Linked DNA regions of Lepisosteus oculatus. Each later gene encodes a partner of the first gene's protein in a complex. Links are inferred from orthologs where the notes say so. Each region holds a gene or a part of one and is shown in the gene's direction. Other genes may lie near its edges.

What was found. Proteins that work in one complex are often made in the same cells at the same time.
Region 2: sf3a1 (region 1) and sf3b4 share a complex: the UniProt entries of both Homo sapiens proteins name them as parts of the 17S U2 SnRNP complex. The link is inferred for Lepisosteus oculatus from reciprocal best matches to the Homo sapiens genes SF3A1 and SF3B4.

What each region holds. Positions count from the first base shown.
Region 1 is NC_090717.1:13,808,385-13,815,883, forward strand, and holds the start of sf3a1 (splicing factor 3A subunit 1), read left to right. Parts: upstream 1-4,487; 5' UTR 4,488-4,756; coding exon 4,757-4,804; intron 4,805-5,357; coding exon 5,358-5,467; intron 5,468-6,186; coding exon 6,187-6,400; intron 6,401-6,922; coding exon 6,923-7,180; intron 7,181-7,499. Other genes in the region: ccdc157 (coiled-coil domain-containing protein 157), read right to left, coding at 232-406, 1,211-1,458. UniProt on the Homo sapiens protein: Component of the 17S U2 SnRNP complex of the spliceosome, a large ribonucleoprotein complex that removes introns from transcribed pre-mRNAs.
Region 2 is NC_090722.1:2,463,748-2,470,629, forward strand, and holds the start of sf3b4 (splicing factor 3B subunit 4), read left to right. Parts: upstream 1-3,881; 5' UTR 3,882-3,945; coding exon 3,946-3,979; intron 3,980-6,882. Other genes in the region: RING finger protein 225-like, read right to left, coding at 500-579. UniProt on the Homo sapiens protein: Component of the 17S U2 SnRNP complex of the spliceosome, a large ribonucleoprotein complex that removes introns from transcribed pre-mRNAs.

The sequences.
Region 1 (7,499 bases):
TCTATTTTTGGTTTTTGCAAATCAGATTTGAGATGAAAAGATGAATATGAGGCATAAGCACTATAAATCTTTTTCACATCTTTTACCTTCTCTCAACAATTCAGATTTCAATATCCTTACAATATATTTCTCTAACTGAGTACTGTTTGTAGATTTCAAGAACTAAGACATTTTGTAACGTTTTTCAGAAATATGACTAAATAAATCATTAATGCAATTCTTATCAGTGACCTGTCGGAGTGTGCATTGATGAAGGGTCCCTAGTTTGAGAAGGTTGTTCCAGCAGCATCTGACTGCCAGTCCAATGGACGTGGAGGGCCCAGCTGCCCCAGTCTGGGAACCGCTCCTGTGTCCTCCCAGCATGCCCTCGGTGAAGCCACTGAAACTCTGCAGCAGCAGCACCAGCCTGGCAGCACAGACAACATCACTGCCTGTAAGTGGAACTCACACCATCACGCCTACAACACACACCAGCAGACACGGGCTGACACTTGGCAACAGATGTTGAGTTCTTGCTTTTTCAGTGCTCTGATGCTTTTTTTGTTTCTTTCACATGATTGCTGAGATGAACACTGTTAAAGGAGTAATATCCCCTGCTGAGAGAGAAACAATCAGACAGAGCAGCAGCAGGGCTCTGAGCTTATTGGGGTACTGCAAAGACACCTCAAAATCACATTTTTTACACTACAATCATTTGGTAAGTTAGGAAAGTAATGTGCTAATAAAGCAGTAATACCACCTTCAGATATTGTTTTGAAAAAGTCAAATGTTATTATTTATTACATTTGTTATTGATACAGATTTAAAATGTATTACAAGGACAAAGATCAAGAGGGACACCTCAGCAATCTTGTACTGGGCCTCCATTGTACTGAGCTACATTAGTATCGTAAATATTCAGTTGAAATTGTAGAAACATAAAGTACTTACTTAAAACAAAGGTGGGGGAACAGAATTAATTTCAAATTCACCGAAGGTTTTCACTTTTCATAGGGATTGCTTCGTATTAAACTCAAAATTAGTCTGTTTCCAATTTGAAAGCCACACTTTTTCTATCAAAGGCAACTCACTGCTGCCACCCAGTACAAGAAGCAGGAAGACAACACTTTGCGTTTATTTGAGCTCTCACTTTCTCAACTAAGTGTGTGGGTTATTCATAAAGGCTTAGTAAATACTGTGTGGACATGAAGTAGAAGGAACAGAACCTTACCTGTCCACAACCAGCTCCAGCAGCACGATATGGGAGTGCTGGTTGAACTCCTCCTCACCCTCCACAAAGTCATACTGCTCCAGGAGGGTCACCAGGTCTAGGTTACAGGACAGCTTGTCGGGGAACTTCCAGGAGGGACTGCGGATCGGGCCGGTGCGGGAGAACACATCCAGGACCGTGCCCTGGAGGTCAGTCAGGTCCCTCCGCAGGCTGTCCACGCAGTCCTGCCGGCCCAGCAGGTGGCTCATCTTCCCCAGCCTCCCAGTCTGCTGTCGCTCTCCAACCCTTCGAAGAAGCGTTTGCCAGCTGAGACCGAGTGCTGAGATGCACACAACAGCCCAGACCTCCACAGCCTCATGGTCTTCAGCGCTACTTCCCTAACACCCTTGACAACTGAAGACGGGTCTTTTTTCTGTTTTCTTTTCCTTTCAGCAGGAATAACCCTTTACCTGTTACTCTGCAGCCTGCGCAAGCCGACGCAGCTCCCTGCTGGAACTTCTACCTCCCTAACTCTTATTAAACGCTATTTTGATCCCTTTCGATTTTTCTAACCCAACAATAATCTTCTCATTTTTAAATCTATGCTACTTAATGCATCATGACTACTGTAATAATTTGCAATCCAGGCCCTAGAGGAGTACTGAAATTGGATCTAGACAGGAGCCTGTAGGTTTTATGGGAAAAACAAACTCTTCTATTACTAAAGGCTTGGAAACAATTGTAATTAAGACCAATTAATTGCGTTTTTCTTAATTGATTGATTGTCATTAAGCAGTCAGTGAGGAATGGAAACCAGAGGACCTTATAGCTTGCCAGGGCCAAGAGACAGAATCACTGTACTAGTGCATTCTCCACAATGTTTAGGAGTTTAAATATCAAAATGCATCAATGATCATCAATACAGATAGGCTTGATGGGAGAGGGGCAAGGGCTGCAGTACTGATTTGGGAAGCACTGCTGTGAAAGAGTACAAGGCTTTTGTTTTAATAAAAATACCTGACCGTCTAATTAAGTGGTTTTAGTCATGGTTGCAAAGAGCACCTGTGTCTTCTGGGTTTGACTAACTCAGTTTTGCATTACTTAACTGAATACTTGAGCTGTGTCCCTAAGTGCTCAAAACGATTGGAAATGTCTTAATGAGACAATTGTTAGTTCAATGTAGCCTCAATGACAAAGAGCAAAGCTGAAATGAAAGCCAGAAAAGACATCAGACCAAAACACACAAAACAAAACAAAGGCACAATAGACATATCTGACAAAACTAAATAAGGCATTTATTTAGGCAGGACCTACTATAACAAGTTGAGTCGATAATAGAGTACAACTATGAAACTGTATTGTTGAATCAAAACCTTCTGGCTGCTATCGCATATTAGTGTGGTGGATTGAAATTGAATACAGTCATGGCATGACTCAGTTGAATGTACTGTAAAGCAACGTATTGTTAAGAAGAGCTAACAAATTAATTAATATAAATAATAATCACAAAATCCATTAAGAGTAGAGTTACTTACCAGGATTACACTCCTCAGGCTCTTGTGACCCCTTTATATACATGTGATTGCTTCATTAGAGTATAAGTATAACTGAAGTTTCCTCCTTTAACATGCTCTAAAAAAGTATCATTTTCAGATTACTTACAAGTTTCGAATGGTAAATTGAAAACCCCAGAGCTGCAGTTCTGAAGACTATCAAAAAACCTAGAAGGAACAGTGAAATGTGAATTAAACCCAAGGGCACAAGTGGAGCCTACATGCATTTAAAACTGAGAACTGGAGGCCCTTCACTACGCAAAGGGTTGTGGAAGTAGTCTCCTGGTTAAATGTGGGGTAAATTAAATAATCACAAAATCAGACCGAACAAAACTCAGCACACACTGGAGTCATTAGAAACAGGGCTGACACTTGAGTCGGCAGTCTTCAGAGATTTACAGTAAGTCACAGCTCTCCGTTCAACATTCAGCTTGGTGACCATCGCTCTCGAAGTCACCAAAAAAGAAAAAAAGCAGACAAGCCAATGCACTTGCAGAAATCATGCTCCTGCTGCCGACACACAGTAAAAAATCAGATGATACATCAAGAAACACTTACTTGTCCTTACTCTATGGTCATTGCTAGAGCTTTCGTGTTTTTGCTCTTCTGTTTTCAGTTCGATGAAATACAGCGAAACGTCCCTGTTTTATTTGATCGTTATGCTCTTGAAATCCTCAAGCTTCCATCTGTTGTCCCCTATTTCCATGGAAACAACGGACAGGAAGTCGCCTGAGGATGACGTCATCTGAAACTCCAGCTGTCGAGCCATTTTATCAGGAGGCACTGGCTCGGACATTATTTGATTGCTAAGAATGACAACAGTTATAACGTAGCCTTTTTATCCAAGGCGACCTATAATTATATTCAGAATTATAGTGCCACGGAATTTTGAACTGGCCTTAATATTAATTTTGTTAGCTTTTCGCTTGTTTTTGTTTCTGTAAACGTGTATACATTTAATATTTTTTTAATATATATATATGTGTGCGGTTGGTAGCTCAGGATAAGGGCGCCTACAAAATTAAGACAAACATAAATAACTGTAAACATTATTTTTAATTTTGCAAAAACACACTGAAGAGCAGTAAATAGTTAACTGTTATTTAATGAAAAGCAACGACAGAAACAGTGAAGGCTGTGGAAACTATGGCGATACTGAGATGAAAAATATATTTCAAATATGTGGTACACAGGAAATTGCAATTGCTTGCAAGTCCAGCAGCCATATCACCCTGCAACTCACAACTGGCAACCCACTGAAGCTAAGCAGGTGTGAGCCTGGTTAGTACCTGGATAGGAGACCTCCTTGGAAAGCTAAGGCTGCTGCTGGAAGAGGTGTTAGTGGGGCCAGCAGGGGGCGCTCACCCTGCGGTCCATGTGGGTCCTAATGCCTCAGTATAGTGACGGGGACACTACACTGTAAACAGGTGCCGTCCTTCGGATGAGACGTAAAACCGAGATCCTGGCTCTTTGTGGTCATTAAAAATCTCAGGGCGTTTTTCGAAAAGAGTAGGGGTGTAACCCCGGCCTGGCCAAATTTCCCATTGGACCTTACCTAATAATCCCCCTTTATGATTTGGCTACATTACTTGTTCAGGCGCACTATAGCTGCCGTCGCATCATCCAGGTGGATGCTGCACATTGGTGGTGGAGGGGATCCCCATTACCTGTAAAGCGCTTTGAGTGGAGTGTCCAGAAAAGCGCAATATTAGTGTAAGCAATTATTATTATTAAGTCGGCCATCAGAGAACTGCATTTCCCACAATCCCAAGCGAGGGGCACTCCGGAAGAGGAGCTCCTTTCGTTTCCGGGTTACGAGAGTTACGCGAAACGAGTTCTTCGTTGCGGGCTGTAAACGAGGCCTTTTATATTTAAACATTACTGTTCCGTTCGATTCCATAATACGGCGAATCGAAGATACAAGGAAAAATTGGATTCAGTAGTCCGAGGACGCAAGTGATTCACCAAGACACGGAAACGCGGGTGTTTGGGTTGTCTTCGGCCCAGCACAGCCATGCCTGCCGGACCGGTGCAGATCGTGCAGCCGGAAACCAACAATAAGGTAACGGGTAGCTGCGAAGCGCTGCGGGCCTAAGTACGTGGTTTACCCGGGGTAAAACTGTACATACAAAAACAGCTACAAAAACTGTGTTCTGGTCCACGCAACGTGTCCATAGTAACTTCAGATCCAAAGAGTTTTGTTTTCTAATATTCCTGTAAAGAAACTTGTCGGTTTACATTCGCGCTCAGTGCAAATACATGTTCTGGGAGTTTTACCCTTGAGCTAAGAACTTTTCTCAGTGTAAAACAAGTCGGGTGCTTTTGGGTAGACCTGTGGAAGTCATCCGTAATTCGGGGGGATAATTGTAATATCTTCTGCGCGATAATAGTATACTGGGATGGTTGAGCCACACGAATACTAAACTCTAACTGTGCAAGAACGGGCGTGCTGCGAAGTTGACCGCCTGTGTTTTGGGGTTTTGAGATTTCGCTGTTTTTACATTTCGCGGTGTAGTGTCACAATGCATTGAAGAACTACACCCAGCAGTGTCTCTTTGCAGGCGGTGGATGTGACCTGTAGCCCTCAGTATCGGATTAATGTTCTGTTTTCACAGGTCGATGAAGCGAAAGAGGAATCGCCGGCTTCCAAGCCCATCGTGGGCATCATCTACCCCCCTCCGGAGGTCCGGAACATCGTCGATAAGACAGCCAGCTTTGTAGCCAGGTAGGCTGTTTCTTCTGATAACTTGGCAGCTCTCTCGATGCACCAGGTGGCACTATATTTAATTCTCTAAAAGAAAAAAAAAACACATTTTGGAACCATGATGGATGTACTAAATAGTTCTCTATTGTGTGTTGAGGTGTTTCTGAGGATTTCACTATAGGTACAACAGAACCCAGCGAGCCAGGTCCTGGGTCCCATTTAAAAAAATGATTATTACATTTGTAAAGGCAGATGTATTCTTAGAGGAACAATACAAAATCCATATGGCAAAAACAAAGATAACCAAACAAAAATGCATTTTGGAGTTAATGCAAAGTTGAACATGAGCTTTGAATTCAGCAAAACAAAAATTGCTCTTTTCTTTAATGAAGGTATCCATAACATAGCTGCATTTGTCGAAGTTCCAGGCGACTCTGAACTGAACGACTTGACTTGAAAAGATAGATGCATGTGGCTCCTCTTGGGAATTAGGTGCTGTCTCTCAGCTACAGCTGCTCCCTGCTCTGAGCTGCACAGCGCAGTGAATCCTGCTGCACTCAACGAGTGGCCTCCCACCGTGGGAGACTTGAGCACAGTTGGTGTCCTGTGGGGTCACGTCACCATAACAAGCTCACTGATTGAACCCTCGTGCAATATGCTGCAAGCCATTGTTGTTTCTGAACTCGCCCTGTAAGGGCATCTACGATTCCAGCATCCATTCCTTTCCTCTACCCTTGCAGAAACGGACCGGAGTTTGAGGCGAGGATTCGGCAGAACGAGATCAACAACCCCAAGTTCAACTTCCTGAACCCCAACGACCCCTACCATGCCTACTACCGGCACAAGGTCAACGAGTTCAAGGAGGGGAAGGCGCAGGAGCCCTCGGCCGCCGTGCCCAAGGTCATGCAGCAGCAGGCCCTGCAGCAGGCGCCCCAGCAGCAGCTCCCGCAGAAGGTAGGCTCGGGGGACCCCCTCCGCCCCCCACACTCGGAGACGACCTCGTGCTTTGTAACTAAGCGCAGTGGGCCTTGAGGCTCGGAAGGAACGAAGTCGTTGTGGATTTTGATTGTTCTGTTCTTGTCCCTTGAGTTCCGCAGGTTCGTTTTAATGGGTTTTTGAAAGCAGAACAAAAAAACGTGTTGTCAGTCAGTTTGTGATGCAACCAAATGGAACTTATAGGACTTGACTTTTAATAGGTGCATCAGAAGTGCTGTTGTTTCTTCACCACTGAACAGATGGTCACATCCTATGAGGCATTTCACCCTTTCAGGAAGAGCAAATCTCTATAGCTTGCCAAGTGAACAAAGATAATTTATTGATATGTTTATATGAGCCCCGTAAGTGGCTAAAAGTTATTTAGTTTCTGATCCATACATTATGGCTTGAACAGACTACTGATTTAACGCGATCCAATACACCGCAACAAGTGCAGAACGGTGTTCCCAAGCCCAGCTAACAGCTTCGCATCTTTGCAAGGTGCAAGCGCAGGTGATCCAAGAAACCGTGGTGCCGAAGGAGCCTCCCCCCGAGTACGAGTTCATCGCCGACCCCCCCTCCATCTCGGCCTTTGACCTGGATGTGGTGAAGCTCACGGCGCAGTTTGTTGCGCGCAACGGGCGGCAGTTCCTCACCCAGCTCATGCAGAAGGAGCAGCGCAACTACCAGTTCGACTTCCTGCGGCCCCAGCACAGCCTCTTCAACTACTTCACCAAGCTGGTGGAGCAGTACACCAAGGTAGAGGGAGCGCTCTCCTTCTGTATTATGACATTTATTTTATGCTTCTTCTGTTAAGGTATTTAATGACGTTGTAGTGACAGGAACTACAGTCAGTGATATAATTTCATAGATTATGTACTGTAGCAGCCCACTTTCATAAGTATGGACTCAAGCTGTGTGTGAGCAGTTCTATCCAGGTGTTCATTACTTCATGGACAATATATAAGATACTTCTTCCATCCCTTTTCAGTACCTTCTCAAAGCTCATCTTTTCACCACAGCCTGAAACCTTTGCATTGCTATGTATCGTATACAGACCCATTCACTGTTGTTTAAT
Region 2 (6,882 bases), on another chromosome or scaffold:
GCGGAATTTTAGCAACAGAAATATAGAAAGAGATATTTTGAAATGAACTTGCTTGGGTCTTTTTCCACTTTAAAAGTACATTATGGAGGTGACCGTTGACGGATATCTTAGTTACCCTAGTTGTTAAACTGGGTTCAAATACATGTCACTATTATAAATACCTTTCTGACATTAAGAAGTGGATTTCGATTTCCTCCTGTTCTGCATAACTACAAAAAATGCGATTAAACTGGAAATCGCTTTTTTTTTGCCATGTTACTTGTACTAGACATATACTTGAATATGTATTGGTGTATGAACTCATATGACTCTGCCAGGTCTAGAAAACACCAGTGTATTACTTCAGCATAGCCCGAGGGCCAAGTATCAAAATAAACTATTTCTCCGATATTTTCTCCGTGTTATTAGTAGAAGAGGCAGAACTGTTAGTACAAGCAGCAGAAACAGCAGCGGCTGTAGCAGAAGGGCCAGAAGTTGGCAAGTGGCCGTTTTCACACACCTCTGCGGAGAGCCGGTCGGTATGACCCCTTTAATACAGTCGAGGTGCAGCGCCGACAGGATTCTGATCAGCAGGTCCATCGCCTCCTTCCGCGGGGACGCTGGGGGCTCAGAGGAAACTCTCGGCGCATCTTGGAAGCGGAGAGGCGCAACACCTATCCCAGGCGGTAGCGCCTTTTTCCCAAGAAGGAAACGAAAACAAACCGACTGCTTCTGATGAAATTCCCGAGCGTGGGCTGTGAAATGATGAAAATGACCCCCGGTGCCTTTGTTTGGTGCCGCAAAAGTACGTTGCCACAGAATTCAACCTTGTCTGCTCCGAGAACAACACAAACATCCCCAGACTTGCTTGGAAAATCAATAGACGTAATTTTTGGTGAAATCTCCGATGAGAAATCTGAATCGCCCTGAGCCGAAAAAGTGGTTTAACCGGCAAAACAAGCTTGTCGAAGTCTTCATCTTTTCTTATTACCCTGCGTAAGCGGTGGTGTTCAGGGCTACGCTCAAGCTTAAACACAGCACTTGGGACAGGTTTTACGATTTTGCCACTGCCTCACACACCTTCACAAGCCTAACCTTAATAGTACTCTTAACACGAAGCCCCAAAACTAAAGCAGGTGACTGATCTTTGAGTCTTCGGCAAATAAGGACACTATGAGCCCTAGTTAGGGTTAGAGCGCATTCCATTTTTGCGCAAATACATTTGCTTTCGTTTTTTGACTCCTCAATTTCTGATTTATCCGTGGTTCTGACCGGTCATGGCCAGCAGATGCAGGACTGGTTGCCAGGAGCTGCTCTGCTGGAATCCAGTCAGGCCAGTACACCCACGGACAGGTTATGCTTGGAACGCCTGGAAGCCATTTTTGGCTCCTTAAATAGAAGTCGCCTTTGTCTGCTTTGGAGCCCAGATACGCCTTAGACTTGTTAAGCTTCTATGACGATAAGGTGTTTAGAGCAGGAGACAAATAAGCTTTAAAGTCAAACAAAAGCAGCACTAATGTTTGTTGACAAAAGGTTATGTTAAAATAACACATCTTAGAAAAAACGCATTGTGCCACAAAATTGTTTCTCCACTGGACTATTATTATCAAAGCATTTTTTTTTGTTTCTCCCTGTTATAGGTTGTTATACTGTGCTGTATTAACTACCTTAGAGTTTTTATCCAAATGTATGTATTTATTCATTATTGCAGTGTGGTGTCTCTGTGGATTAGGATCTGCACCTGTGGCTGGGAGGTTGCTGGTTCATATCCTGTGGCTGACAGAGGAATCCTACTCTGTTGGGCCCCTGAGCAAGTTCCTTAACCCCAACTGCTCCAGGGGTGCTGTATAAATGGCTGACCCTGCACTCTGACCCCCAGCTTCTCTCCCCCCATGTGTGGCCCATGGAGAGCAAGCTGGGGTCTGCGAAAAGACAAATTCCTACTAAAAGAAATTGTATATGGCCAATAAAGTTTCATGGCAAGCTATCTGAGAATACATCAAATGTGTAGTTTAATCAGAACATGGTGAAAGCACAATACAGGACACAGGTTTTAGAGACACTAGAATCAAGAGAAACCTCCACTCTATTTTTTGGACTGTGAGGATACCAGAGCACCCAGAGGAAACCCATGCAAATATAGAAAGAACATACAAACTCCCCACAGACTGCACACCAGGCCTGGAATTGAACCCTGGGCCACAGAGCTACAAGGCAGCAATGCTAACCAGTGCACCACCATGCTGCCAAAGAACAGCAGCCTCCTTAGTCCCACTGCAGGTTACCTACAAACACTAACATGAGTATTAACATGAATTCATTCAGCTAATGCTTTGATCCAAAGCAACTTACATCTGTACACATTAAATGAGCTGGGCATTTTTTGGTACCTCGCCCTGTGTCTGAATGCAACACAAAGAGGTAACGTTACAAAAAAGGAAACTTTGGAACCACCGTTATTACAAGGCTGCCAATAGCTAACTGATCCACAGATCTCATCCAACGGCATCTTGAAAGGTCCCACAGACTCAGCTTCAGCAATATGAGATGAGATGAGATGGACCTGGGGATGTTCACATGAAATTACCTGTTTACTTCAGCACAACTCACGGGAGTGCTGAAGCTCGCCAAGGGTAAATTGTTTCATGCCTTGGTATGAACTGAACAAGAAAACGAACATCTCTTGAAAATAAATCAAGTAAGCTGTAACTGTGTAACTCTCAAATACAAGAATAACACTTCACTGGAAAGCGCTCTGGAACCAGTAGGTGGCGCACTTTCCTCTGGTGGAGAATGTCCAACCCCTGCAGCAGTAAAATGACCAGGGGTCTGTGCTTGCAGGAGGTGTCGTCCTTCAGATAAGAGTTAAGCTGGGGTCTTGACTGCTTGATCATTAACGATCCTGTGGCACTTTTCAAAAGAGTAGGGCTGTCAACACCATGTCCTGTCCAAAGCCCACTTTGGGCTTCAACAATGTTACCTACGTAAATTTCCCTGCGTATCGAATTTGTGAAGCCGTTTTCTTGCTTCTCCACTCGTTGTGTAGTGGGACTCTGCTGGCACAGAATGTTGCCACATTACCCTGTTCAGTATTATAATCAGCTCTTGCAGTTTCACAGCACGGAGAAAATTGAACTAACAACTCATTCTGTCTTTTGAATATATAAACTCACGACATTAGCAGCCACTGACGGTCGGATCGTGCTTAACAGGGATCACCAGCATGGTGTACAAAGGAACAAGTAAGAGGTTTATTCCATACTGAAAAGAGAAAACACTATGTTTAGGCTGTGAAGCCTTCTTCTGGTGTGAGCAAGACAGGGCACACAGCAAAGATGAAAACCTGCATGAGAATAGTCAGCATATCAGCATGGTTTAGCTTTCTTTAACCAAAGAAGCAGGTGCTTGTTATAATTTTTAAATGATTGGCATATACTTTTATTGTACATTTCGAAGATAAATACATTTATCTCAAGCATACTAGACCAAAAATACTTTGGGGGGAGATTGATTAGAGACACATAGGAGAACTTACGACGCGCAATGTCACAAATCCAGAAAACCCTCAATGTCTACATGCCCTTCCTTTGGATAAACATCTGTGGTTGTGTATCACAAATATTGCGTACCTCACAAACCGGTTTTCTATCTCCGTATTTATTTAATACACTAACGAACTGTGAGAAATAGGAATGAAAATAAAGCAAGCCGTTTAGTACCGGATTTTGTTTGCGAATTTTGCACGTCTTTTTACTGATCCAGACAGAACGCGGATGGGTCAATTTGAGGTTTACAGAAATAGATTACAGGATTTTAATTCGCCTCCCTGTTAACAAACTTTTCCTTCGTTCCTCCGAACGCTAGATGGCGCTAAGAGAGACGGCGTGGCGGCGCTTTGCGGAAGTGCTGGCCTGGCGAGAAGGGGGGATACTTCCGTCGGATGCGTGCAAGCACGCAAGCTTCGATATGGCGGCGGGACCGATCTCTGAAAGAAATCAAGGTAAAACTGTGAAACTCCTTCAACGATGTTGTAACTCGGAGGTGAAGGGATGCGAGTGTAACAGAAGGTAGCAAAGGAAATAGAGTTGTGTGAAACTAGGGTTGAAGGGCGATGTGTTGTCGGTCCAGCTGGAGTCCTTCGTGTGCATGCTGTTCGGTTTTAAAATGGAACAATGAATTATAGGATTAAAAAGTTTGATATCCTGTCTAATGTTGTAATCGTGTAGTAATGAGAAATTATTATACTTCTCATCATCCAGTGAGCATCATATTGAACACATTTTGGATCACGGATATGCATTGCTTGATTGCAGATTGGAGGCTTTTTAAGAGGGAGGTAATACTTTCTCTTAGATCATCTATTTTAAAATCCTGGTTGTCCCATTTCTGTATTTTTGGCGAGGAATGTTGTTTACAGTGTTCCTTTCGCTGTGGTTAGGCGCTTAAAGAGGGGGAAGAAGGCGTTTTATCTGCTAACGGGCGAAAAGTCTGCGACTGTTTTCTTGGGAGCGTTAAAAGGTGTCTCTGATCTGCTGTCCTGGTCTGGTTTTCCGCTCTGTCTGTTAGTTATTCGAGGCCTCTCGCTAATCTGGCTGTATGAACGTGGGAAGTTGTCACAGCGAGAGTTTTGAATTGCAAAATCCCCGAAATGAAAGTCTCAACCAACACCGCCTCTTGAATACATAACCCAAGTCCTCCCTGGACAACATATTTTTTCTCCCCGTCATTTTGGGTCGTGAGAGCACTGTTCCGTCTCGGTGGATCAAGTTCGTTTGGGGGGACCCAGTATGTTCTTGTAGCGCAGGTCCAATATCCAAAAGGTTTGGGCGGTAGTTTTAAATGAACTGCGTCTAAGAGCTCGTGTTGAAAGGAGAAACGCACGGTGGTCGCCGTGTGTTGGTCTTGTATTCCAGCTGCGGATGAAACAGCGGCTCCTGCTTCTTGCAGTGTCTCCTTTCCCTGGACGTGGGAGGCCACAGTCGCTCTGAGTGGTGGCGGCCAAAGAATATTTTGTTTTGAACTGGGTTTTAAAACCCATTTCCACTCCCACAAGGGTTTTTCGACCCCTCCTGTCTTTGGTTTGTCATATTTGATCTGGAGGTCTCATCCAGCTGTTTCTTGAAAGACACTGTGGTGTAGGCTAAGTAACTCCACTCTCAAAAAGTGCCCCTTCCCCATTATATAATGCACTTCCACCCCCTGCTCTCAATCATTGATATACAAAGCAGAAGAGTGGTCCTAATACAGATCCTGGTGGTACCCCACTCATTACGTCTCTCCAGTTGGGGCAGTCATTCCTTATGTGGGCCTCTGCTGTTTGCTGTTTCCCATCCATTGACCAGTTCTGAGTCCAGGTCTGTGCATTTCCTTTGAATCTCACCGCTTGAAATTTGAGAATTAATCTTTTATGAAGAGCTTTATCAAAACCCATCTGAAACGATTCAAATGTCTTTCTGTGTGTCTGTTACGGCTGTTACTTATTCTAGGACCTGTGAAGTCCTACCTTATTCAAGATAGTTAAGCGTGACCTACCTGTTTAAAATCCATGCTGGTTATCCACAGGGATCCCTTTTCCATATAGATTATATCTAGATAGAAAAGTACTTTAATTCAAGGCTATTTGTGATAAAATGTGTCTCTGCCCCCTTTTCATTCTTTCTACATAGTATGGAATACATTGCACCTTAGATGTTAGACCTGTATACTTTTTTATTGTACAGGTGCTGCACATTACATTTTTATACACGTCTGTATTTAAAGTGTTAGTGATGCATCAAGTCAAGTTCAAGTTTATTGTCATTATACTCATATACAGGTATATGGTATAACGAAATGCTATTTAGCTAGCTCTCGGACGATAAGTAGTGCAAAGAAAAACAACAACAACAACAACAATACAATTGTATAACAAAAGAAAGACAGAGACAACAGGCAGTGTGCAAAACAACAAAAAGGTAACAGGTAATGTGCAAAAACAACATCAGATGTGCAAAAACATGCATCAACAGAATGAAATAAAGGATAGAAATGATGGGGAGTAAGCTTTTGACATGAGGTAGAGGTAGATTTCAGTGTGTGTTTGGGTTTTTGGTAGGAAAGAAGGCACTGTGAGGTTCAGATCGTAGGTGAGAGAGGCTGGGAGTTTAACAGTTTGATAGTGCGGGGGTCAAAACTGTCTCTTGAGTCTGGAAGTCCGGGCCCGAATGCTCCGGAACCGTTTTCCAGATGGTAGAGGGTCATACATTCTGTAGCTGTACATATTGTCTGTACATAGATATTGATCCAGCTGTAATTCCATAAATATTCTCACACCTGAAGAAGGCTCCACTGCCGAAACGTTGTTTTCTTTCTCCTCTTTTCAGCAGGGACTAAACCTTAAACTTGTTCCTTTGTAGCCTACGCATGCTGACGCAGCTCTCCACCTGAACTGTTCCATAAATATGAGCAGTAGCTGATTATCCTCGAAATATTGGTACTGCCACACAGTGTAAAATTTCTTAGTGCTGGGGACCTGATCAGCCATTTGCTAAAAATACCTAGTGAGGTATTCAGACATCATGATTGTCACTGATAAAAAAAGATGTATGAATTGAAAGAAGCTGAAAGGGCAGCAGAGCTTCTCTTTCCTGAGCATGTAGTAAGATTGTCCTTTTTCAACTTCCTGCTCTGTTTGCACCATTTTAGAAGAGAGCTTTGGAAAGAAGAACTCATCTGAGATTTGGAGTGCCTGGCAACAATCTCTTTCTATTCAATTTCTCCTTCTATGTTACACAGAGCTATCAGTCAGCATTCCTCCTGGGTCTTTTCACAGGCTGCACGCTAACTCACCTCCCCACTGTAACCCCTACAAAACCAGTCAAATCACATGACCTCCCCCCAGTCCCAAAGAACTGTTTCTAGAGA